Lonchura striata: one gene and its partners. The protein of the gene in region 1 purifies or fractionates together with the protein of each later gene. This does not show direct contact. Links are inferred from orthologs where the notes say so. Each region holds a gene or a part of one and is shown on either strand. Other genes may lie near its edges.

Evidence for each region.
Region 2: the proteins of RUNX2 (region 1) and SMAD1 purify together in Homo sapiens (affinity purification with western blotting; 3 studies listed by BioGRID). This does not show direct contact. The link is inferred for Lonchura striata from reciprocal best matches to the Homo sapiens genes RUNX2 and SMAD1.
Region 3: the proteins of RUNX2 (region 1) and HDAC4 purify together in Homo sapiens (affinity purification with western blotting; 3 studies listed by BioGRID). This does not show direct contact. The link is inferred for Lonchura striata from reciprocal best matches to the Homo sapiens genes RUNX2 and HDAC4.

What each region holds. Positions count from the first base shown.
Region 1 is NC_134605.1:108,607,316-108,615,006, reverse strand, and holds the start of RUNX2 (runt-related transcription factor 2), read left to right. Parts: upstream 1-4,651; 5' UTR 4,652-5,469; coding exon 5,470-5,772; intron 5,773-7,691. UniProt on the Homo sapiens protein: Transcription factor involved in osteoblastic differentiation and skeletal morphogenesis. Essential for the maturation of osteoblasts and both intramembranous and endochondral ossification.
Region 2 is NC_134606.1:62,070,967-62,078,305, reverse strand, and holds the start of SMAD1 (mothers against decapentaplegic homolog 1), read right to left. Parts: upstream 3,026-7,339; 5' UTR 2,876-3,025; intron 1-2,875. UniProt on the Homo sapiens protein: Transcriptional modulator that plays a role in various cellular processes, including embryonic development, cell differentiation, and tissue homeostasis.
Region 3 is NC_134610.1:36,921,237-36,929,088, reverse strand, and holds the start of HDAC4 (histone deacetylase 4), read left to right. Parts: upstream 1-4,845; 5' UTR 4,846-4,981; intron 4,982-5,427; exon of another isoform or gene 5,428-5,522; intron 5,523-7,852. UniProt on the Homo sapiens protein: Responsible for the deacetylation of lysine residues on the N-terminal part of the core histones (H2A, H2B, H3 and H4).

The DNA of each region.
Region 1 (7,691 bases):
CTCTGCAGTAGGACCCACACCACAGTCCTACAGTCCCTGCTTAAGAGAAGCAGAAAATATATGATTTAGGAAAAATACAGAAGCAGTAAACTTTGTTGTTTGTACAGCCCGTGTTTTGCTGTGTGCTGTGGAAAAGCCAACAGTTTTTCAGCAGGGACAGCGTAGGTTTCCTACCAGATTTCCAAATTTTTTTTCCTGGTATTACTGGATGCCGAGTCCTGCTCATCTTTGGACCTCTGAGAATATATATACATATTTTTCTATATCAAAATATATATGGGTAGTAGTTAAGATCTCATTCTATACTGAAGGAAAACTTGCTAAAAGTCATGTCTGAGATCCCAGAACATTCAGCATCAGATCATGAGACAGAACACAAGACTCTTAGCTCTCAGTCCCCACTTCCTACTGAAAATGCTAGGAGGAAAAGTAAAATTATGTAGTTAATTTTTTAATGCGGTCATTTTGTAGCCTGTCTATCAAATCTTCATGCTTTTGTTTGTATCAGGGACTATAAATGCTAAAAAGCAGTGCATTATGCTGAAATATTAAATGCTTCAATTTAATTTCAGGACACAAAGAATCTTCTTTTATCTGGGCTGTAAATCAGTGGGGCAGGGACACAGTAGTTAAACAAACCATAGTAGTCCATAGTCTGAGTAAGAGTGCTGCTATTACAGAACTCATTGTCACACGCCTACTTAGTAGGCCAAATTACGTGCTAATCTAGAGTTACTATTTGTCATACTTAAGAAAAAGCAAAGAATATCTGGGCAAACAGTCAACTTCCAACCAAAGTGAAAGTAAAGCTCTGCCAAGAGACACTGGAGCTTATCTTGCCCCTACTGAAATGAATGGAAGTTCAGGCAAAACCTGCTCTAGCATTAAGTTTACTTAAGTTCACATATTTTGGCTCAATGCACACTTTCAGTGTGCATTTCAGTGAATTAAAAACTTAGGGAAGGTAGATATTGGCAATTCTTTCACTATAGTAATAATGCTGACATTGCTGTAGTCTCTCTGGCTAAAAATATCAAATACAGCAACAAACCCAGTGAACCCATTCATTTATTCCCATTTCACAAAAGCTATTTACATACACAGAGAGGCTCAAAATAAATTCTGTATTCATTGGGTTTGCAGAACATTCCAGCCCAGCAAACTGGCATTGAAACTATTTATTTAGGGAACATCATCCAGGTTAGAATCTTTCATATCTGATAATTATTTTTCATCTTGAGCACCCAGTACTTACAACAAGAGCATACTGGGCCTATGTTCTAGAAATGTGATGGTAAACAAACTCAGTTCTCTTTAAAACATTACCTTTTTGTCCAAAAGCAGTCTAATTATGGCTGTATTCATAACACAGTTAAAAGTGAAAAGGCTAAAAGACAATATAAATTGCAGCACGCACAGCCATACTAATGAAAATTCAATACTGTAAAGTGGATCTGGAGGTGTTTGTTAAGATATAACTTGCAGCGCAAGCACATTTTTTCACCAACCTCCTACAATTCTCTAAGATCTTAAAATATGACCCATTTTGCAACCAGTGCTAAAATTCCGAGAAGTTCTGAAATAAAACCTGAGGAAAGCCGAGCAGCAGGGTTGCTCTCCATTCCAGCCAAATCCAAGCCAACGTTCCAGATTATATATATCATAACATGAATGACTTCTGCTGAAAAATCCCATCCAGCTTTTATGTAGGTTCATAAATATTACTGGTACTTTTATTAATTTGTCCATAACCATTTAAATAAAATTCTAGAACTCTGACCCGTGATCTGTTCCAGACTGTAGTAAGTTCCTGTTAAATGTGTAAATATTCAGCAGAAAGATATTTTTGCACAGAGACTGAAAATCAGCTGTGCCAGATACCTGAAACTTTGTTAGGGCACTCAGTGGAAAATTTTATTTTGACATTATAAATAACTCTGGACTATTTTAAGTGACCTTAAACTGGTAGCTTCCAACGACTTATTTTAGTTTATCCTAATTAACTTTTTATTTTATTTTAGTAGGAAGAGAGGTGACTGTAAAATTTTTAGTGTGACTAATTAAAAGTGGAAAGGTATCTTCTTGATTGAAACGAAATAAATCATGATTGTCAGGCTTATATAGCATTTGGATATAAAACAACTCATTGCCTTCTTTCTAGCGCCTTTGGAATGGCTCTTTGGGAATGTATTAGAGCCAGCTAAAGAAGGGGGGAAGGAAGCCAAAAGAATCTATGGACATAAATATTTTGCCAAAATAAGTATGAACAAAGTTATTTTCTGTATCACAACCACAGCAAGCCAGAGCTTCTGCATATATACTAATCCGTATAGGTGATGAGTAATTGTGCTGTGGAAACGCCTGTGGCCACTTTTGGGGAACATTAGATCCCTGTGGTTGGCGGGAGAAGTAGGGCGAGCTCAGGAGGGGCTTGCAGCGTTACCCACATGGATCGCGTCTTCTCAACGGGATAGAAAACTTCCAGAGCCCTTCCAACCTTGGGCCGGGAAAAGATTAAAAAAACAAAAAAAAAAAAAAAACAAACAAAAAAAAAAAAAAACCAGAACAACCGTTGAGGAAATGAACAAGCGGAGGGCACAGGTCCCTGCGAGGCAGTGGGTCGGGGGTGCCGCTCCCCGCGGCAGGCGTGGGAAAGCCGCGGAGCGGAGCGCAGGACGGACGGGGCACGGCTGCGGAGCGGGGCTGGGTGGGCGCCGGCGGGCGCGGAGCCGCAGCCGCGGTGCGCGGAGCGAGAGCTCTCCCCTGTGACCGATCGGCGGAGCTTGCGGGTTGCTCTCTGCTCCGGAGCCGAGCGGGCAGGAGCCGCCGCCGCCGCCTCCGCACGCACATTCCCCGGACACGGCAGGGCTTTGCCCCGGAGGCGCAGAAATTGGGGGCAGCGGGGCAGGAAGGCGCGGGAGCAGCGGTGCCGCCCGGCAGGAGGAGGGCGCGGAGGCTCCGCGGGCGCAGAAACAGCCCCGGAGGTGCCCCCAGCACCAGCAGGCACACACGGACACACCGAGCCCGGGTGTGTGCGGGCTGCTCCGCCGGGGCAGCTCCGCCCGCTCCGCCGCAGCTCCGCGGGACAAACCCGGCTGGGTCGGGGCGCCGGGCTCGGGCTCGGAACGGCTCTTGACAGACACACACACAGCGCAGACAGACACACACACAGCGCCCCGAGTCACACACAGGCGGCGAGCAAGGAGCACACACGCAGCGCCGACTTTTTACAAGAAGGTGGAAGTAGCAAGTCGGAGTAAAGCCTTAGAAATTAGAGGGCGGGTTGTGATAGGCTGTTATCTGCGCGGGGAGGCGGTGACACTTTCATACCATTGGGTATGTAAATGGTTTTTAATAAGATCTGCCCTTTTTTTCTTTTTTTTCTTTTTTTTTTTTTTTTTAAGGGAGAAAAACAAACCAGACTCCCATTACCTTAATAGTCTGAAGGGGGTTTTATAGCTTTCATTCATTCAAGGAAATGGTTTAGGCTTTAGACTACCGGAGACTTAGCAAAAAACTCTTTGGCACCAGAATATTCTTACTTTTTTTCTTTTTTTTTTTTTTTTTTTTTATAACAAGATTTTTAATGCTTTTTTTTTTTTTTTTAATTTAAACAAACAAGTCCAAAAGTGTTAATGGAAAAAACCCGGAGAGAAGTGGAGATCGGAGACCGTCTCCTGCTCCCCCCCTTCCCCATCCCTCTCCCCGTGGGTGAGAGTTTCTCCTCCTGGGGGGGATGCACATTGGTTTATTTATTTTGAAGGCTGCAAAAGTCTGAGGACTGAAGCACCACGTGCTGCTGACTCTCATCAGCATAATGATCGCCTTAGCCAGAGAGTCCTGTATATATAAACCACAAAAACCTAATCATTAGAAATCCCAGCCTCCAAAAACCACATTCAGGACAAAAAAACTGTGGCGTGGGTTTGTTATTTTTTTTCCGGCTCCTTCATCTTCCCCGACCTGAACTTCTTGGGAACCAAAAGAAGTTTGTAACTTTTGGTTGCTTTTTTTTAATAATTATTATTTTTAACCCGATTCTCCAGAAAGAAAAATAAGTCAAACAAAGCGACATTTTAAAGAATTTTTTTTTTTTTTTTTTTTTTTTTTTTTTTTTTTTGCTGCTGTTGTTCATCAAGGGCGGAAAAAAAAAACCCAAGATTTTTGTTCTCCTATTCAACTCAACGGACTTGGATCCAGCAGCGACTTCATGTGAAGGACCAGGCTGCACCAAGGCTGCCTTTTCCTAGAATTTGCTTGATCATATTTTAGAAATCAGCCTAAGGAGGGGTGTTTTATTGTTGTGTTGGTTGGTTTTTTTTCTCAGCTGTGATCCCCGATTCTTTTTCCCTGGGAATCCGAAAGTTTAACTTTCCTTAAGCGCTGATCCTCCGAAAGGAACTAGATAAAAAGTCTCTTTTAATTATCAGCCCTGTGACTTTCCTCTTCACCCCAACAATCCCAGTAACTTTGTTTCCCGGACGAAATCGCTTCGGGAGCGCCTTTTTTTTGGAGGGGGGGAGCCACTTTTCCCAAGCCCCTTCCCGAGCTCCCGCTTCCTGAAGCCAAAGGCAATAAGCGGGAGAGCCCAGCGGCTCCTCGTCCTCGCCTCTGTCCCAGCGAGGCTTTTTGTTTGCTCCTTTTTTTTTTTTTTTTTTTTTTTTTTTTTTTTTTTTTGTGTGTGTGTGTGTGAGTCCGGAGGAGGAAGATTTCGTCGGAGGAAACCGGGACGTTCCCCTGAACCCCCCCTCTCCTCTCCGCTCCTCTCCGGGGCTGAGTTACGCTACGATTCTGGCGGCCACCAGCAGCAGCAGCCCAGGAAGCTGAACCAGCAGCGAGTTCTACTTCTCCCAAGACAATTTTTGGAAAATCCGAAAAGGAAAAGAAGACGCGAAGGGAGGGGAAGAAAAAAGGGAAGAAACTCGAGCACTTGAGGGAAGAAGCGGTGGCTAGAAGGAGGGAAAAGAGCAGAGAGACTGTGCGAGAAGGAAGGAAGGAAGGAGGAGGAGAAGCGGCAGCGCTTTGCAGCTGGGCAGAAGCCGGGACCATGCAGTTTCCAGCCGGGCTGTGCTGAGAGGGGCAGCCCCGGACCCACTGCCAGCCTCTGCCTCCTCGCTGCTCCAGGCTGCCTGCGCCCCCAGACCGGCATCACCCCTCGCCCCGTCCATCTTTCTTTAAAAAAAAAAACAACAAAAAACCCAAAAAAACCAACAAAACAAACCAAAAACAGACTGAGACTTTTTTTTACCTCGTGCATTTAATCCGCTCCTTTTTTTCCCTGTTTTTTGTCTGATTTGCTTTTTTGCCCCTTATCCTCACCCTCCACTTTTTCATTCATCCCTTTTTTCGCTAGATATATATATTTTTTTTTTACAACCCCCACCCCCCACTACACGCCTCCTCTACCAGCGATCCCCCTACCGCTCCCCCCCCCCCCGCCCCCCAATTCGCTAACTTGTGGCTGTTGTGATGCGTATTCCCGTAGATCCCAGCACCAGCCGGAGGTTCAGCCCCCCCTCCAGCAGCCTGCAGCCCGGCAAGATGAGCGAGGTCAGCCCGGTGGTGGTAGCCCAGCAGCAGCAGCAGCAGCAGCAGCAGCAACAGGACGCGGCGGCCGCCGTGCCCCGGCTGCGCCCCCACGATAACCGCACCATGGTGGAGATCATCGCTGACCACCCCGCCGAGCTGGTCCGTACCGACAGCCCCAACTTCCTCTGCTCCGTCCTGCCCTCGCACTGGCGCTGCAACAAGACCCTCCCGGTGGCGTTCAAGGTGAGACACCCCCTCCCGCAGCCGCCGCGGCCCGGGATGCTCCCCCCGCGCCCCCTGCCCTTCCTCCCGCAGGGGCTTCTGTGCCCCCACCCCCCGGCCCGCAGTGTCTCCGGTGATTCCCGTCCTGCAGGAGCTTCTGTGCCCCGCGGCCCGGAGGGATTTCTCTGTGTCCCGCAGTTCCACCCCCCCAGCCCCGTCCTTCAGTGCCTTCTGTGCCCCTCGGCCCGCAGGGACTTCTGTGCTCTCCTGTCCCCCCTCCTGCAGCATCTCAGTGCCCCGCCGGCCCGCAGGGGTTTCTGTGTCCCCCCGACCCCCTGTCCCCGCGATGTCTCCCGTGGCCCTCGGGCTGCCTCCTGTGCCCCCCCCTCACGCCCCCAGCCCAGCAATGCCTCCCCGTGCACCCCCATCCTGCACCGCCTCCTGTGCCCCTGCGGCCCGGGGGGCTTCTCTGACCCCCAATCCTGCAATGATTCCCGTGTTCCCGCCCTCCCCTCCAAGTGTTCGAGTCTTGGAGTGCTTTCTGTATCCTGTCACGGTCCTGCTGTGCCTCCTGTGCCCCCGTCCGCGATGTCTCGGAGTGCAGCCCCCGCAGTGCCTCTCGCCCCGCTCTCCCGGTCCTGCAGTGGCCGCCGTGCCCCGCGTCCTGCCGCGCTTCCCGTGCCCGCCGTGTGCCAGCTCTGCCCCGCTCACCCTTGCTGCGCCCCCGGCGCCCCCCAAGTTCTGCCCGCCCCCCCTGCACGGACCGCACCCCCGGAGCCATCCCGTTATCTCCATCCCCGCGGGGCACTGCTGGCGTGCTCCCCCCGCAGCCCAGGGGCACCCTGTGCCCCCCTCAGCATCCCCCGGGAGACACCCCCTGCTCCCCATAGTCTCTCTCCATGGCTGTTTTTTTTTGTTTGTTTGTTTGTTTGGGGGTTTTTGTTTGTTTGTTTGTTTGTTTGTTTGTTTTGGTGTTTTTTTTTTTTTTTTTTTTTTTTTTTTTTTTTTTTTTTTTTTTTTTTTTTTTGAGAAACCTGCTTTCCCTCTCTGGGGAAGGAGGGATTCAGCCCTCGGCCGGAGCTTAGTGTGGCACCCCTCCACCTCGAGAAACGGGGGTTCCCCTTTCTCCTCTCCGCTCCCGGGAGTGGGACCGGAGGATTTGGCGTGGCTCTGAAGCGTGGCGGGGCGGCTGGAGTCCGAGGGTCAGGCTGCAGTGGCAGAGTGGGATCGGGGCTTTGCCCCCCAACAGCCCGGGCAGAGATGGGGCTGGGAGAGGGGGACACAGAGCACCTGGAGTTGGGGACACGGGGTACCTCACTTCTCCTGGTGGACAGCCGAGGAAGTGGATGCCCAGAGACGCTCTCCTTGGCAGGGTCGCACATTTCCATAATAAATCCCACCCCGCTCTGCACTGGGGATGCTGCTTTTAATTTTCTGTCTCCATCCCCACGGCGCGCTAATGAGAGGAAACGTTTTTAGAAAAAAACCTGCAATAATAACAACAATAATTGCGGGCTTTAAAGCAAGCCCTTTTCCTCCTCTAGCAATATTTCCAAGTGTTCCCACTGGAGTTTTCCTTCCCGTGGCTTTTGGTAGGGAGGGGGCAATGGCTCGGGTGTCCCCAAGTGCCTTCCTGAGCAGGGCATGGGTCAGAGTGAGGTGGGATGGCCCTGGGGGATCTCAACATACCCACATTTTCCTGTGAAAAGTAACACACCTGGAGATCCCTGAAAAGACAGAAAAGTTTGGAAACAGTCTCACCCAGTGTGTTCCAGAACATCGTCTTTTTCTTGTGTTTCCCGACTGCCAGCCGTGTTATCATGGCCGTTTGTTCGGGAAGAAGCAGTAAAAGTGCTTAAATGAGCCCCTGGTAAAGTGAGTGGTGATAACGATGGAGGTTTGCTTTGAAGATGTTACGGGTGTGCGGGTGAGGCTTGGCT
Region 2 (7,339 bases), on another chromosome or scaffold:
GCACAGTCTGCAGGTAAAGTCTAGCTGAGCCTTAAAAAAAGGATATATAAATATCAGAGATTCATTCACAGCCACTTCCCCACTCATACATCCCGTAGCTGCATATTCCTTCATCTATTTCAGCTCCTAATGACTGCAAGGAAGAGGTTGAGAGTCAACCTAAATTGGTTCAGCTTTTACTCTTCACAGGGCACAAACTTTAATTTCAACTACTCTTTACATAATTTAAATAATACACACGGTGCTCTCTTTATTTGATTCTCAAACCAGCTGTATCTCAAGCACAATGGGACATGTCACCGACACTTGCTTTGCTGCCCTCATAATATGGTTTAATTATGATGACTGAACTAACAGGCTCACATCATAGACTTTTACAGGTTGACCCTGTGTCATCCTGATGTATCATTTTGCACCAGTTCAGTGCTGTAAATCAATTTAAGATCTCCAGCAGGTTGAAAAGGCTGGTAATGATGCTTTCTCTGCAGTCTCTGGGGACTCCACATTATACACAACTTACATTATTTATAAAGCTGAGATGATGCCTCCATTAGGCCTGTAAGACTACTCAAATGATATTTTACGCACACAGCTTGGGCTGCACAGAGCAGAATACTGGCAATATGTAATATCCAGTGCATTCATGCTTTAATTTAAAGAAAAATAACCAAAACAGTCATAACCCCTTCATTTTTAAAATTTAAATCTTTATAGCAAGCAAAGAAATTAACAGTTTAATCTGAATAATTTTCTAGTACTCAGAAACACAAGTAGCACTTTTATTAACCTTTGTATTGTTTTTCTTCATGTTCACCTATTCTGTTTTCAAACTACAGAGGAAAAACAAACACCAAACTCATCAGTTTCAAATAGTTGATTTGATAGTTACTATTTATATGAAAACAGAAAGATCTCCATCTGTTTACTCAGTCACTTGTCTCAAATGTATCAGATCATCACATCTTCAAGGGTACACAAAAAAGCAAGTTGAACAGAACAGAATAGGAAAAAAATGTATTTGATTACATACCCAATGGTAATGGGGTCAAAACAGATGCAAGGACAAATCCCTACCCTTAGGGTAACCTGATCAGCCTTGAACTGATCATTTCTCATAGCTGTGGAAGGCTTCTGGATCACCCAAATCAAGGGAAATTTCTCTCAAGTGCCTACTTACAGTCTGAAGTAAATTGCAAGACTTCAGCCCTAAGACCACAGCAAGGACTCCCAAAAGGGCCAGATCACTCTCATTTTCATACTGATGTTCTTTCAGTCATAACAGAGAAGTAAGCACCCAAACCCTGCACTAAAATCCAATGGGAACCTTGAAAAACCTTCATAGCACTGCTCTCTGGTTTAAGGGGGAAATTAAATACTAATCAGCTGCAACTAAAAACTCACGTCCCATAATTCAGCCAAATCATTACTCACAAGTAAAAGAAAAAAATAAGCCAAACTTATGTTCCCTCACATGATTTGCTCCTATTGTTTGACATGACAAGGTGCATACAGTCAGCCACATGAAGAATTACAGACACACACCTGCAAAGAAAAGTGTTCTCTGTGGGCTGGGTAAGCTACTGTTTTTAATCTTACTCCTGAATGCTGCTTGAAAATACATATAATTATTGGAAGAAAAAATTTTAAACAAGTTTTTTTTTCTGACTTCCCCTCTGTGTGCAAAACAGATTCAAACTATCAGCTATGACCGCTCTTTCCTAAGAAGCATGTTAGTTTTAAGGTGCAATATCTTTGAACACTGACATCCATTAAACACTGACATGTTTCAGGCAATGATCTTTTCCATTTGCCTGTATCTGAAATACACATTTACTTTTACTCCTCCCCATCTGGCTCTAACAATACAGTTTTCATTAAGCTCTGTTGAAAATACTTCCCCAAATAAAACTGTAGACACGCAGTGAGCATCATGTTATCCTAAAGTACACCAAAAAAATGATTAATTTTCAGAATAAGCTGTTGTTATCCAGATACTGTAAAAGCAAACTGTAAGGTCGGACTGTGTACCTTCTTCAGATTGATCTTCTAACAAAAGAGCAATCACAGCAACCCTGCCTCGGTCAGAACTCTCTCTGACTTCAGTTTATATTAAAAAAAAAAAAAAAAAAAGTCAGTATTTGGCCCAGATCATTTTGAACGCATGACTGAATATTTCCATGCCAGTAAATTTTAATAAGCTTTAAAGATCTATATTCAGGATAAGATTATTTGGCTGTACAAGTATATGAAGCAACTATACTGAAGAGGGGGAAAATCTCAAGCATCCAAACCCTCTAACAGGGAAAAGAAAAAAAAAAAGTGAACTTTCCTTGACCTCTAAGCGCAGATTTGTCATTAAAGAAGAAAGAAGGGGACGGGAGGGAAAAAAAAGCAGGAGGGGAAGGGGCTGCGGAAAGAAAGGAAGGGAGAAAAAAGAAGAAAGAAGATAAATTAGAGGGAGAGGGACGCGGCCGGGCCGCGGCGGGAGGCGAAGGGCTGCTCCCGCACACACAAAGGCGGCCCCTGCCCCGGCTCCGCCGCGTCCCCGCGATGGGGCCGGGGCCGGGGCCGGGGAGGAGCCGCAGGACGGCGCTTCCCGGCAGGGAAGGGCTCTGCCGCCCGCCGGGCCCGGCGCGGCACCTACCCACCAACTCGGAGCCGGGAGCGGTCCCCGCCGGGCCGCCATCATGCCGGGAGGCGAGCGGGAGCACCGCTGCCCGGAGCCGCTCCCGCCGCGCCGCACGGCCCCGCCGCCGGGAACACCACCGCAAGGACCGCGGAGGAGGAGGAGGAGGAGGGGAGGATGCGCGGGCACAGCCGCCCGGCCTCGGGGACAGTGAGCGGGGAGAGGTGCGGGGGAACGCGAAGTTGTTACCGGCTGGCGGGCGGTGACGGGCGGCCAGCAGGCAGCTCCTCCGCGCCGGAATCGGGATCGGGATCGGGATGGATGTGGCCCGGCCGGCGTCAGGCGGCCGGAGCCGCCCCGCGCCGCTCACCGGCACACTCACACACACACTCGCATACACACACGCACCGGCCCGGCCAGGGATCCTCCCCAAATTCCCGCCCCCGCCGCCGCGCCGCCGGGTCCCGCTGGGAGCGCTGCGCCCGCCGCCGGAGAGCGGCCGCGGCACGGCACGGCACGGCCCCGCACGGCACGGCACGGCACGGCCGCTGTGTGCCCTAGCCCGACCCTCGCCCCGGCTGTGAGCCCCCTCCGACACCGTCACTGGGGCTTAGGAGGCGTTTCTGCCCCGCCGGAGCGGCCGGGGAGCTCCGGCAGCGGGGCTTCGGGGACAGCGGAGGATGCTGTCGGACTTGGAGTTAAAGTCCATTCCTGACGGAACAGGATTATGTCCTGCCGCTTGCTACAGGTGATTCAGGCTTGACTTGGTCTAGTCTTAATACTGAAATAATTGCTGTAATACCTCCCAATGACAGAGCACTCTCTAACCCCAGGTGTTTTACACGTGGACATTCTCCTGCCCGTAGGTATTGCTGCACTTAGTCCTCATTCATGCGAGTAAAGCTATTACAGTGCTGGAGGCTTCTTGTGCAGTCAGAGCCACAGTAATGAAGCCTCAAGTCGCTGTCCCTGGGACTTGAAGTCCATTTGGATCTGCAAGTGTCGGCTCCAAAGTGGAACTGACTGAAAGTTTGGAGCTCACATGTGGAATGGCAAGCCTCTCCTGCCCGCTCACAGGATCTTTACAGTAGTCAGGTAAGTGTTGCGCAAGCAAGATTGAACTGAAACTGATTCTTTGGCTTTTACCCAGTCATCGTTCCTGGAAGGAGATTTCAAGCAACAAGTGCAAGATGTTCCTACGTGGCAAAATATTCTGATATGCCTATACACATAATTGTACCCCTAGACTTAGGCCAGTAAATTTTGACATGTATAGACAGTTCTGGTATGACTTTAAACTAATTTTAAAGTCCAGGAACACTGAGGCCTGGAGGACTTAAGGCCCTGAGAGTTTTACCAGATGAACAGTTGTCCTGCCCACCCAAGTGCATTGTGAGTCTGAAGACACAGAAGTGGAATGGCTTGCCCAAGATCACAGAAGGAGCACAACAGCAGCAGTAAAAAATACCCAGGTCTATGCCTGTGAAGGTATCAGCGCTTCTTTCTAACTTCATAATCTAAAATTCATCCATTTCATTGCCACATATGCCACATAAATACCACATATATTGCAAACAGGTGAATTGTACAATTTTGTTAGGGATTATGCTACAATAATAGTAGAGGAACTCCCACACAGGATGATGCCATAATATTGATGGGGAAAGCCTGGAATAAAATTACTCTTTTACTGCTTAAATTTTGAACCTTGAATGATTCAAGATGAGTGAACTTTGGTAATCAGCTTTAATGTGTATTTTGTGCTTGCACTGTACACAACTACACTTAGCAAGTAAACTTCTTTCTATGTGCAATCACAGATATAGTGCAGCACTGGACTGCAAATACAACTGGTGGAGTTTATCTCAAGACAAACTGAATGGTCTTTAAAGTTTGGCAGTGTAATGAAGGCATTTGCGAGTAAAGTACAGGAGAAACATGAAACTGATATCTGGTTTTTGTACTGTGGTAGTGTCCTGGATCAAGAGTAGTGGATGCAGCAGTAGTACCTGCCCAAGAGCTTGGCAGTCTCAGTGATCCAGTCTCACACAGAGAAAAACATGGAAAAGGCCTTTCATGTGCTTGAGCTCTGCTGTAATGTGCTCTGCAGGCTGACTTCGTGGGCACAAGCTCCATCCACTGGATCCTGGTTGCTGAAGTATCAATTCATGATTCACACTAAACAGATATGACAAGGAGATAATTAGGGAAGCACTGCAGTTTGTCAGGTGTCTTGTTAGAACCACATTTTTACTGCTTTTGTTGTTGTTGTTAGGGTTGACCGGTTGGTTGGCTTTGGCATGAGAGAATTAAATTATTTTCTACTTACATTGAGGCTTGGGGAGGATCACATTAATATGCTGCTTTCCTTAAAAAAGGCTATGAAACAGCCTAGGAGAGTCTTTCTCTGATGTTTAATAACCAGAGTGGTTGTCCTGGAGGGGGCTGGGTAGCCTGGCTTCAGACAGAGCAGTGGTGTGAGAAGACCAGGGGAAAAGGCAGAAACAGTGTGCCCTGGTCAGATCTTCCTCAAGGCTTCCCTGCCTGGGCTGTTCTGGCACACTAGCCAGAATAAAACTTCAAGTCTGCCCCCTGCTTTAGGATGTGCAGGTGGAGCTGACTGTCCAAACCCATTACTCTGTGGGTGAGCAGCATCAGCAGTGTCTTACTGCACACTCACCACTTCTAAATCCACTGGCTAATTTAATACCCTGAATCATTAACTTCTTCCTGCCTTTTCTGAATAACATTAGAAAACTGAAAAAAGGAAATCAGAGAGGTATGTACACCTGGGTATCAACCTTGATGCTCCTCTGCACTGGGCTGAATAACTGTGCTATCTCAAGAGGCAACAGAGAATAGGTTTTTTCTCTTTTTGCTCTGCAGCTACATGATCATTCAGACTAGTGCAAGGAAAATAGGCCGTGAGGCTGGGGCAATGAAGAAAGAGAAGAACCATTCCGTCTGTAAACTGCCTGTCTTTTCATCAGATTAGGTGCACAATCTGATGGCACCATCAGTCATAAGGCCTGTGGACCTGAATTTTAATGGAGTAGGGGCACTTACACAGATAAATGTCTATTATGATTCTCAAAGGAAACTTTAATCTCACAGACACTTTCTAGCATCTCACCAAGCACCTGCCCAATCAGCTTTAAAATCTGTGTCTCGGAAACTGATTATCAGAAGGCTGAGTTCTAAAAGACATTCATTATGCTGCATATTTTAGACTATTCTATTATGTAACAAGCATTTAAGAAATACTACTACTACTACTAATACTGTGGCTACAACAACTATTGGCTTTTGATCTTCCTCCAAAATCCAATTTTGTATGTAGGTTATGATTTGGTATTTCTTGTTAACTTCAGCCAGGCTTCATCTGGCTTAATCAAGAAGTTCCAGGGATAGTGACTGTCTTCTGGAGACAGTTTAGCTCCAAAGTCAGTAACTTTGCTTTACCTTCATGTACACTAGGTTTCTGCCAGAAATTAGGAGTTTCATGGATAATTAAATAATTAAATTATATCAAACAGACAACTTATTATTTACATTAAAATCACTGGAGTAATTTTCTTTTCAGCCATTACACTTTTTGTTGCCTAGTGTGGGAAAATACCAACAATATTTTCAGAGAGAAGAGGCAGCTCTCTCAAGAAGAATAATAGCTTCCTAAGGATACTGGATTTCATTATTTCCTTCTTTCTTGGGCTGGGTGACAAAATGTATCACCCTCTATCCTTCATGGCTTCTCTGCTTTGTCTTTGAGTAGGCGAGGTATTAAACAAGACTCCTACCTCAGCATTATTAACATAGGATATGCAGACGGCTTAGCAACTGCATAGATCTATTTGGGAACAGTGCCTCAGGCAGAAGACAGCATGTGAGAGAAGGTAAGGAGCATTTTTAGGAGGTCATCATAACTGTGCAGCACTGCATATGGTTTTCCAAGTCCATCTGGATACAAGGTCCTGTATAGCCACAGTACAAGCCCAGGAAATAAGGAACTAAGTTGTAAAAGGCCTTGAAGGCAACACTTGAGGGCTCTCTGTAGTCTTGCTCTGGGAGTCTGGCCATTTTCTAGAATGAGCCCTGCATGAGTTTGACTCTATAGAGAGTCAAATACCTGCTTGGGACCTGCCTTAGTATTGTGACTCACTGTCATAGGCAAAAGAACAAAGAATTCATTTCACTCTCAGAAGTTCTTCCTAAACTGGCCCACTATGATTAAGTGGGATTCATATAGAATAAATGTGGAACTTGATAATTTTACAAGGTTATTATGTGTATACCTCTGTTATATTAAATAAGGCTTCTGCCATAAATCTATCTGCAGATACCAGAAAGGTTTTTGATCAGATTGAGTAGTCATTCATCTTTTCCACCCATTGGGATGATGGGAATCAGACCTAAATTCATTACTTTCTTAAGATTAATGTGCCCAGCTAAAGCTGCCAAGATCCTTATTAAAAGTTACAATTCCAAAAGGTTTGGGTTGAAATAAAGTATTAAGCAGGGCACTCCCTTATCTCCATTATTGGTTGTTTTCTCATCAGACTCTGATGCAAGGACTTTCCTCCAGCAATGTTACTTTTCTGGTAAAGAAGGGAGATTGCCCTCTGTTCTGACAGCTCATCACGTGCATCCACGAAGGACAGCATTCCTGTTCACTGCATTGCACCAGTACTGTACTTTATAGAGAATGGAATTCTC
Region 3 (7,852 bases), on another chromosome or scaffold:
CATGGTGGATCCCATCCTGTAACATCCTGAATGTGTTTGTGTGCTCCCAGAGAGCCCTGGGTTCCCTTCCGGGGGCTGCAATTGTTGGCTTGGCTTTTTATTCCAGATTTGTCCCAAAGTAGATTGGATCCACGTCAGGAAAGACTCCAAGCACGAGCTCTGCCAGCTGCTCCTTGTCTGCAAAATCTAAAAGTTGCTGCTCCTGAAGCCAGGCATTTTTATTTGCATGAGAAAGCTGTAGCTGACTGTAAGATAGTTTGTGATCTGATTTTAAAAGAAAAGGATAAAAATAAGTCCAATTGTGTTCTTGTTCTGCCTCAATTTAGCTGCTGGTCGTTCTCTTTTGTGCTCCCCACATTTCTGGAAAGCTGGTTGACACTTATTTAGGTTGGCACAAACTAAATATAACCAAGTGTGTGTGAAAGAGCATGGACTGGGTCAAAGCTTCCAGAGCAGCAGAAAGAAGCACTTTGCTTTAAAATACCAAAATCCAACTCTTTCTGAGACAGCTCAATGAAACACACACAACCTGAACAAAAAGTGAGCCCTCCATTCAACTCCTGAATGCTGCTGAAATTTTTATTTTATTTTTTTTTGCCAGCTTTTACAGTCCACAGCCTTCTCATTCAATCCTGAATAATAGCTTTGAATTGGGCTGTAAAAGCTTCCGAAGTTTGAAGTCTTTTGACAAGTTAATTTAGCTGTATGGTAAAAAGTTTTTCCCCCAGATAGAATAAAGCCATCATCTCATGAATGTAGCAGTCAGCCAAGGGAAAGAAAACACCATTAGGATTAGAAATGATGGGCTTTCTGGAGATAGTTTGTGGTTTAGTGTGATCTACTATCAATATTTCAGTAGAAAAATATCCTACTCGTCATCCAGCTGCAAGTCAGTCTCTTCACATAAAACCAACACCCAGGGACCAGGCTGCAAATGTTTTTATTTCTATTTTTCTATTTTGCTTTTTTTTTTTTTCCCTGGTCATATTTTTCTTACATTTATTTAGATTTTAATGGTTTTTCACACCCTGGATGATGCTTTTTTTTTTTTTTTTTTTTTTTTTTGCCTGGTTGAAAGAGGCCGAATAGAAAAATGGATCAATATTTCTTTGAAGGTTTTCTCACTACAGAGAGACACACCCCACATTTTTCTTCCAGTAGCTGGATGAAAAGAAATATAATAAATTGATACACATTTCCTTTATTTTTAATATTAATAATTGGAAAATGAGCACTGATAAACAAAGTGTATCCATCAGTTATTCTAGCCTTGATGTCACAAAGAATCCATATTAATTTTAGACTTATTTCTGCTTTTTATCTCAATTTAAGCCTTAATGTGCTACTAAAATGGGGTGAACAAAAAAAAAAAAAACAAAAACAAAACCAAACAATTGAGGGGGAAAAGAGATTTCTTTCATACTCTTAATTCTTCAGTTTCATTTGGAGGGATGATGACACCATAAGAACTTTTGGGCAGTTGTTTGTAATGGCCACAGAATAATTTTTCTCTCTGCAGTAGGAATGATGATCTTTGTGGATCCCCTCCAAGTCAGGCTATTCCATAATGTAGTTGAGAGCATAGCTGCTAGATAAATAGGAAGCTTATAGAAATCCAGAAAAATACTGAAAACAAAATTGGCAAACATTTTTATTCTAAAAGTGTCTTGTACTCAGACATTGTAAAACGACTGCCATAACAATCCAATATATCTCCATCAGCAAAAATAAAGCGTAAGTATGGAGAAGAAAGCAAACTTTACATTGTGACCTCCACTTTGAACTTCACTTGCTTGTTTTTCCCCCCAGCTGGGGAACATGGACTTGATTTTGCCCAAAACAACAGCAATAATTTGTTTCTAAGAGTCTGGCTCTTACTGCTTCAGGGTTTCAGCTCTTCAGGCCCTGAGTGCTGCAGACTTGATGAAGTGTTAGGTGTGCAGACAAGCTGGGAAGCAGCTCCTGCAGCCAAACACAGGCGTGGGGGCTCCGAATTGGAGGAGAACCACCTTGTTCTGGATCAAAGCAAGCTGTGAGGCAAAGAGAGAACAAGGAGTTACAGCTGAAGCAAAACTCACCAGGATTAAAAAACCAGTAACAACCGAACAAAACTCCACAATAAAAGGTATGCTGGAGGAAAACACAGGAAGGGGCAACGTAAATTTAACATTCCCAGTCACATCAGAGCTGTGCTGTAAATTATGTGGGTTTGATGGGGTTTTCCTTTTGATGGCAAAAAGTAGTAAACCAGTATACTGTGGGACAGATACAGAGCAGGGAGTGGGAAATAGCACAGAAAGGTGACAGGTAGGACAGGAAAACCAAGGGAGGTCAGTGATGGAGACTGAATGATCAGGAGGAAGAAGAGGGAGCCATCATCAGATTGGAACTTGTGTCTAGGCTTGACTTTTCTCCAAGGACCCAAGTGTCACTGCCACTTGGTGTCTAGGCTCCAGAGGAAGCTCCTGCTGGCGCTCTTCCTAACTCTATCCTCCTTTTTTTTAGGCTGTGGAGTGGAAAACTGAAGCACTCTCTTTTCCTTTCACCAGCTCCGTGTGACTAGCGAGGGAAATTAGCTGGAGTGTTGTGATGGCTGTTTCCTGCTTGAGAACATAAGAAATGGAATCATTCCTGACAAACAAGGAGTTCAGCTAAAGATGAGGTGGAGGTAGGCGTGAAGTTCTGTAATTGCTTTTTATTTAAATCTTTATGAATTAGCTCTGCCAGGGTGTTGGTTTTTATTTTAGATTTTTATTTTTTGCTTCAACAGGCCTCTGAGTAAGTTTTTCAGCTGCAAATACAGCAAAAACAGACTATATACAGCTATAGCCAATATGTTGGATTGAACATATAGCAAGAAGCCTTTCCCTTGTGAATCTGAGGTCTAATTTCCATGCACAACGACAAAGGTTTAATTTTCTGCCATTATGCATAGGTTAGCCTAGACTGGGTATTAATAGAGACACATACTCACACCCACAGCCACAGGTACAGCATCAATCAAAACCTGAAGGTAGAACTTACACTTCGTGGCAACTTCCAGGGCACAGTTCTCTCCTTTTGTTTCCTGTTTCCAAACTGCTCTAGCAGTGCAGCGAGGAAAGGCAGCTGGGCTGCTTGTAACCCACGTTTTAAGGATTTGGGACCAATTCTCCCCCTGGCTGGAGCAGAAATGGGGACTGCAGGGGAGGGCAGACACTCACCTGGCTGCCACAGCCGTGCCCTGCACCAGCCATGAGCAGCACACCTGTTGCCTTGGCAAATATTGCCCTGCTTTGGTAACCTTCTGGCCCTGAAGGCCTTCCACCCACAGGTCTCTTGGCACTCAAACATAATTTGGGAGGTTATTTATACACACGTTCCCTTATCCGTCCGAGCGCACAGCTGGCCCCAAATAAAGAGGGCAGAGCAACTCTGTGAAACCTCACCAACCAAAGAACAACAAACAAGCCCACGAGCCTAAAGAAGCTGCAAATGAAACAAAAAGGGCTTCAGCTTCAGGCAGAAGTGGTGTTCTTAATGCCAGTGGTGCTCTCAGGTGTGTATTCCACGGAAATGTCACCATTTCCTGGAGCCTGTGGACAACGTGGAAAAAAATCCCGAAACTTTAATGGCTGGATCAATATGCCAAGGGTTTTTGTAAGGGTGGCCCTTTCAAATGAAATCAGAGGTGGTAAATATCTCCGAAAAGGTAAAAGAGAAAAGGAGCAGTGTTTATATACTACCATGTATATGCAGATTTGAGAGACGGACAAAGTTGTTAGCAATTCCCATCAAGTCCCAAAATTTATGTAAATCCAGATGGCTGAATGACAGGAGTTCCTATTTTTTTAAATTTTTTTTTTTTTTTTTTTTTTTTTTTTTTGCTATAAGGGAAATCTGGAAGTTTTAAAAAACAATTTAGCGAGAGCCAATTAATCAAACCCACCAGAAGCGTGCTGGGATGGCTGCCTGTGAGTAAGGAATGTCATGTTTCAGCTTGCCTTAGGCAAGGATGGGAAGAAATTCCTTGGAAGCTTAGCAGGAAATCTCCTTTCCACTATCCCAGGGTGCTCCAAGCTCTGTCCAGCCTGGCCTTGGACACTTGCAGGGATGTAGGGGCAGCCACAGCTTCTCTGGGAAACAGAAGTAATGGAATGATACATCGCCGGTGGGATGTTCCCACTGGATTGTGTCCCACAGGATGAACTTCTTGCACCCAATACTGCAGTGTTTTCCTTCCCATCGTCCGGAATGTTTGGGAGCACGACTTGGGAAGTTTTGGGCACTGCATAAATCAAGAAAATACGAGTGAAACGAGATGTGTCAGTTCAATGGGTAATTCCACGTACAACTCAAAAATCAGTAAATTGCTGCGAAAACGGGGGTAGAGGGAAACATTACCGGAGAACTCCTTTTTATTTTCATTTTTAAATTTCCTCTCGGTAATTCAAGCAAATATGTTGAACCGTGCCCTGTCCTTTCTGTCGTTTACCCCTCGCTTCAGCTGTTTGCTGTTACAGGCGACACCTGACGGAAAACACAGGACGGCCCATGAGGGAGCGGGACCGTGGGTGCAGAAAATCGGGGGGTAAAAAACCCCAGAGTTCCACGTTTTATCACACTGTGGTCTCTACGGCGTGGATCGCAGGTGGGGGCTGGAGACGCCGGTCCTGCGGTCCCGACCCCCGATCCCCGCGGGCTCTGTGCCAACATGGCGGCCCTGCCCCGCCCCCGGTCGCCATGGCGACGGGCCGCGCGCCACGGGGCGTGACCGGGGGCGCACGGGGCGGGGCCCGATTGGTCCCCTTCCCCCCGCGCGGCTATAAATAGCCCGCGCCCGCCGATTGGCTGCGGGGGAAAAATGGTCGCACCACGTGACTCCTCCATCTAAAAAGATTTCCAAGATGGCGGAACCCGTCACGGGCTGAGTCCGTCGGTGGCGCGCTCCGCGCCGGGGGGGCCATCGCCGCGCAGCGTCCCCGCCTCGCCCGCCGCCCAGGTCAGTACGCGCCGCTCCGCCGCCGCCGAGCCGCGCCGCCCCCGCGCCCGGGCTGCCCGCGGCGCCGGCCCTTTAAGGCCGATCGCCTCCCCGCCCGGCGGGCTCGCGGCGCGGCGGGGCCGCTCCCGGGGGCCGCTGGTCGCCGCCGCGCCGCGGCCGCGGGAGGGGGAGGTGACGGGCAGCTGGCGCGGCCAATCGCAGGCACCCGCGCGGTGGTGGCGGGCGGATTTGAGCCGCGCAGCGCCCCAGGCCGCGCGCTGATTGGGCGGCACGCCGGGCGGGGCGGGGACCCCGCGCGCCATCGGCCCGGCCCGGGCGGGGCGCGGGGGGCGTGACGGGCAGCGCCGCCGCCCACTCAGCGCGCGGGGCCCGGTTTTTTGTGAATGGGGGGGCGGGGCCGCCGCCGCCTGCAGCCCCGCCCCCCGCGCGCTCGCCCCGCCCCTCCCGGGCGGCCGCGGCTCCGCCTCGTCCCCCCCGGCGGCGGCGGCGGCGGCGGCGGCGCTCGGTCCGTGCGGGGCGAGTCGAGGCGATGCGGGCAGCGGTGAGTGACCGGCGAGGCGAGCGAGCGGCGGGCTGCGGGCAGCGCCGTACGGGGGCCTGGCGCCGCGGCTTGGCGGGGCGGGCGCGGCCCTGCGGAGGGGGCGACGCCCGCGGCTCGGCCCTGGGGCAACGGGCGGGCCGCGGCCCGGGATCGGTCCTTCCATCCTCTCCTCCCGGGCCTCCTTCCCTTGTCCTTGTCGTGGGAATAACGCGGGACTTGGAGAAAGTTTGCGTCCTCTCACCCCGCTCCCCGGGGCTGTCGGGCTCGGGCCCCGCGGCACTCACCTCCTCCTGGAGAAAATGCCCCAAAATGGCTTTTTTTTTGTGCCCGGGAGGAGCAAACAGGGGGTGCTGCCCTCGGCAGCGCGGCGTTCTCAGAGAGCCCGGCGATGGCAATCACAGGTCCGAGGCCCAGGGCTGTAGCCTCGCCGCCACAACTCCGGTTTTGGGGGTTCGAGGGGGGATAAAGCACGTGTGCCGCTGCGAAACCTCAAGCCTCGGCTTGCATGGGGCGAAATGAAGCAGAAAAAGCCGAGCTTTGGGGTGGCGGAGGATCGCGGAGAGAGGGAGGTGTTGCCCAGCAGCCGCGTGTGGGTTTTGCTGCAGGGATTTATCAGGGGAAGATGCTGCGCGATCCCGGCGCTCCCCCAAAATATTGCCCGCTGCCTGCCCCAGATGTGCTCTCGGGGGTGTTTGTGACGGCTCGGCGGAGCAGATGGATTTACATAACAATAATTTGACTGTCAGTGCTCGGCGCTGGGCAGCGGCTGGACGGGAAGGCAACCTGCCCTTCGCTCAAAGCACTTGCGTAATTGTGTTGTGCGCCCACTCCGCAGGGGAAGGTGCTGGTTTTGGTGGTTTTTTTGCCTGTCAATAGACTGTTTTGGCTGATTTGCATAAATCAGACTCGTCGCCGCTAACGCCCGTACGGGAGGATTTCGTGTTCAAGCCTTGCTTCATATTCCGGGCTGGATTACAGCTCTGAAAATGCTCCCAAGGAGTGGGGATCTGTGCCGGGAAGGTGTGGGTGGATTCAGGGTGTGAAAATGCCTTGTAAAACCCTGGGATGGGGCGTGCAGCGAGGCATTGGCTCTCTCCCGGCTTGCCGCTTCTTTCCCACCAGGCAGCTCGGTGCGGTGCTCGTTTCCCCAGCCGCATCACCTTGTCCTCAGAGCGCTGGTCTGAGGCCGCGGAGATGGAGCAAGCGTTATTTTGGCCCCGGGAGCTACAGAGAGTGAATAATCCCCTGGCCAGTGCGTTTTGATTTACTGCTATTATGCCCTGTCAATAAATGGGACTCATGCCGCATTTATTCCCTGCCCTCAAAGTGCTTTGCTTGTTGCCAAATCTACCTGGAGTTAATTATCTGAATTGTGCTTTTTTTCTTGTTGTTGTTGTTGCAACGGCAACATTTTTAAAAGCTAAGGAGCTCTGAAGTTTATATAATAATCTGGTTCTTGGCCGGGTTTCCTGGTGGTTTTTTTTTCTTTTTTTTTCTTGTGTGTGTGTGTGTAACGCGGTCGGTCGCGGCGCTGAGTTTTAATAATTTCTGATCTTTCCAGCACCACTGTTAGGAGTTCTCAGCCTAAAAAGCTGCTGCCGACGCTCTGCAGCCTCGCTGGAAGAGTTGAGGGCATTGAATTTAGGAAAGCTCAGCTGCTTGTATACAAATATACAGCAATTACAAGGCAACAAAGTTATTGCAGAACCCTACTGTCGCCATGGCAACACGCTCACTCAATTACATTTGGAAATGTAAAATGCCACCCAGTTAGAGTAAGTTTTAGTGACTGCAGATATTCTGGGTAAAGTGAAATGTGGAAGATGCTGCTTTCCAGGATTCTCTGCTTTTTCCCTCCGTCCATGGATGGCATGTGCATCTGACAGATTCCCAGTGTTGATATTAAGCTGTGCCCTTGATGGTCTAAACTTAGGGAAAAATATCTTTAAATCTTCACAATTTTAACTTTGCCACTCTGCTTTTTTTTCGTTTGTGTTGTTTCAGGACTTAGCTTTAGAAAGGAGACAGATTAGAGAAAGCATTTTGGAAAATTGGCTTAGAACACCAGAAGAATTTGTCATTTGCTCAGCAGGATGGAGGCATGGAAGGAAGCACACGTATGGCATGAAAAGCTTGTATTCCCTTGGGAGGAGATGTCTGTTGGGCAGCCTGTGTCTGTGTGCTGCCATCTCCTAAAATCTCCTAAACAGATAATCCTAAAGTAGAGAACTGCTAGGTGTGAATTACCAAGTTCTTGAGAAGTCCAGGGTGGAAGATAACAGGTGGAGGAGATGCAGGTCCGGGTGTGGGATATCGGTGACCTCCACGGT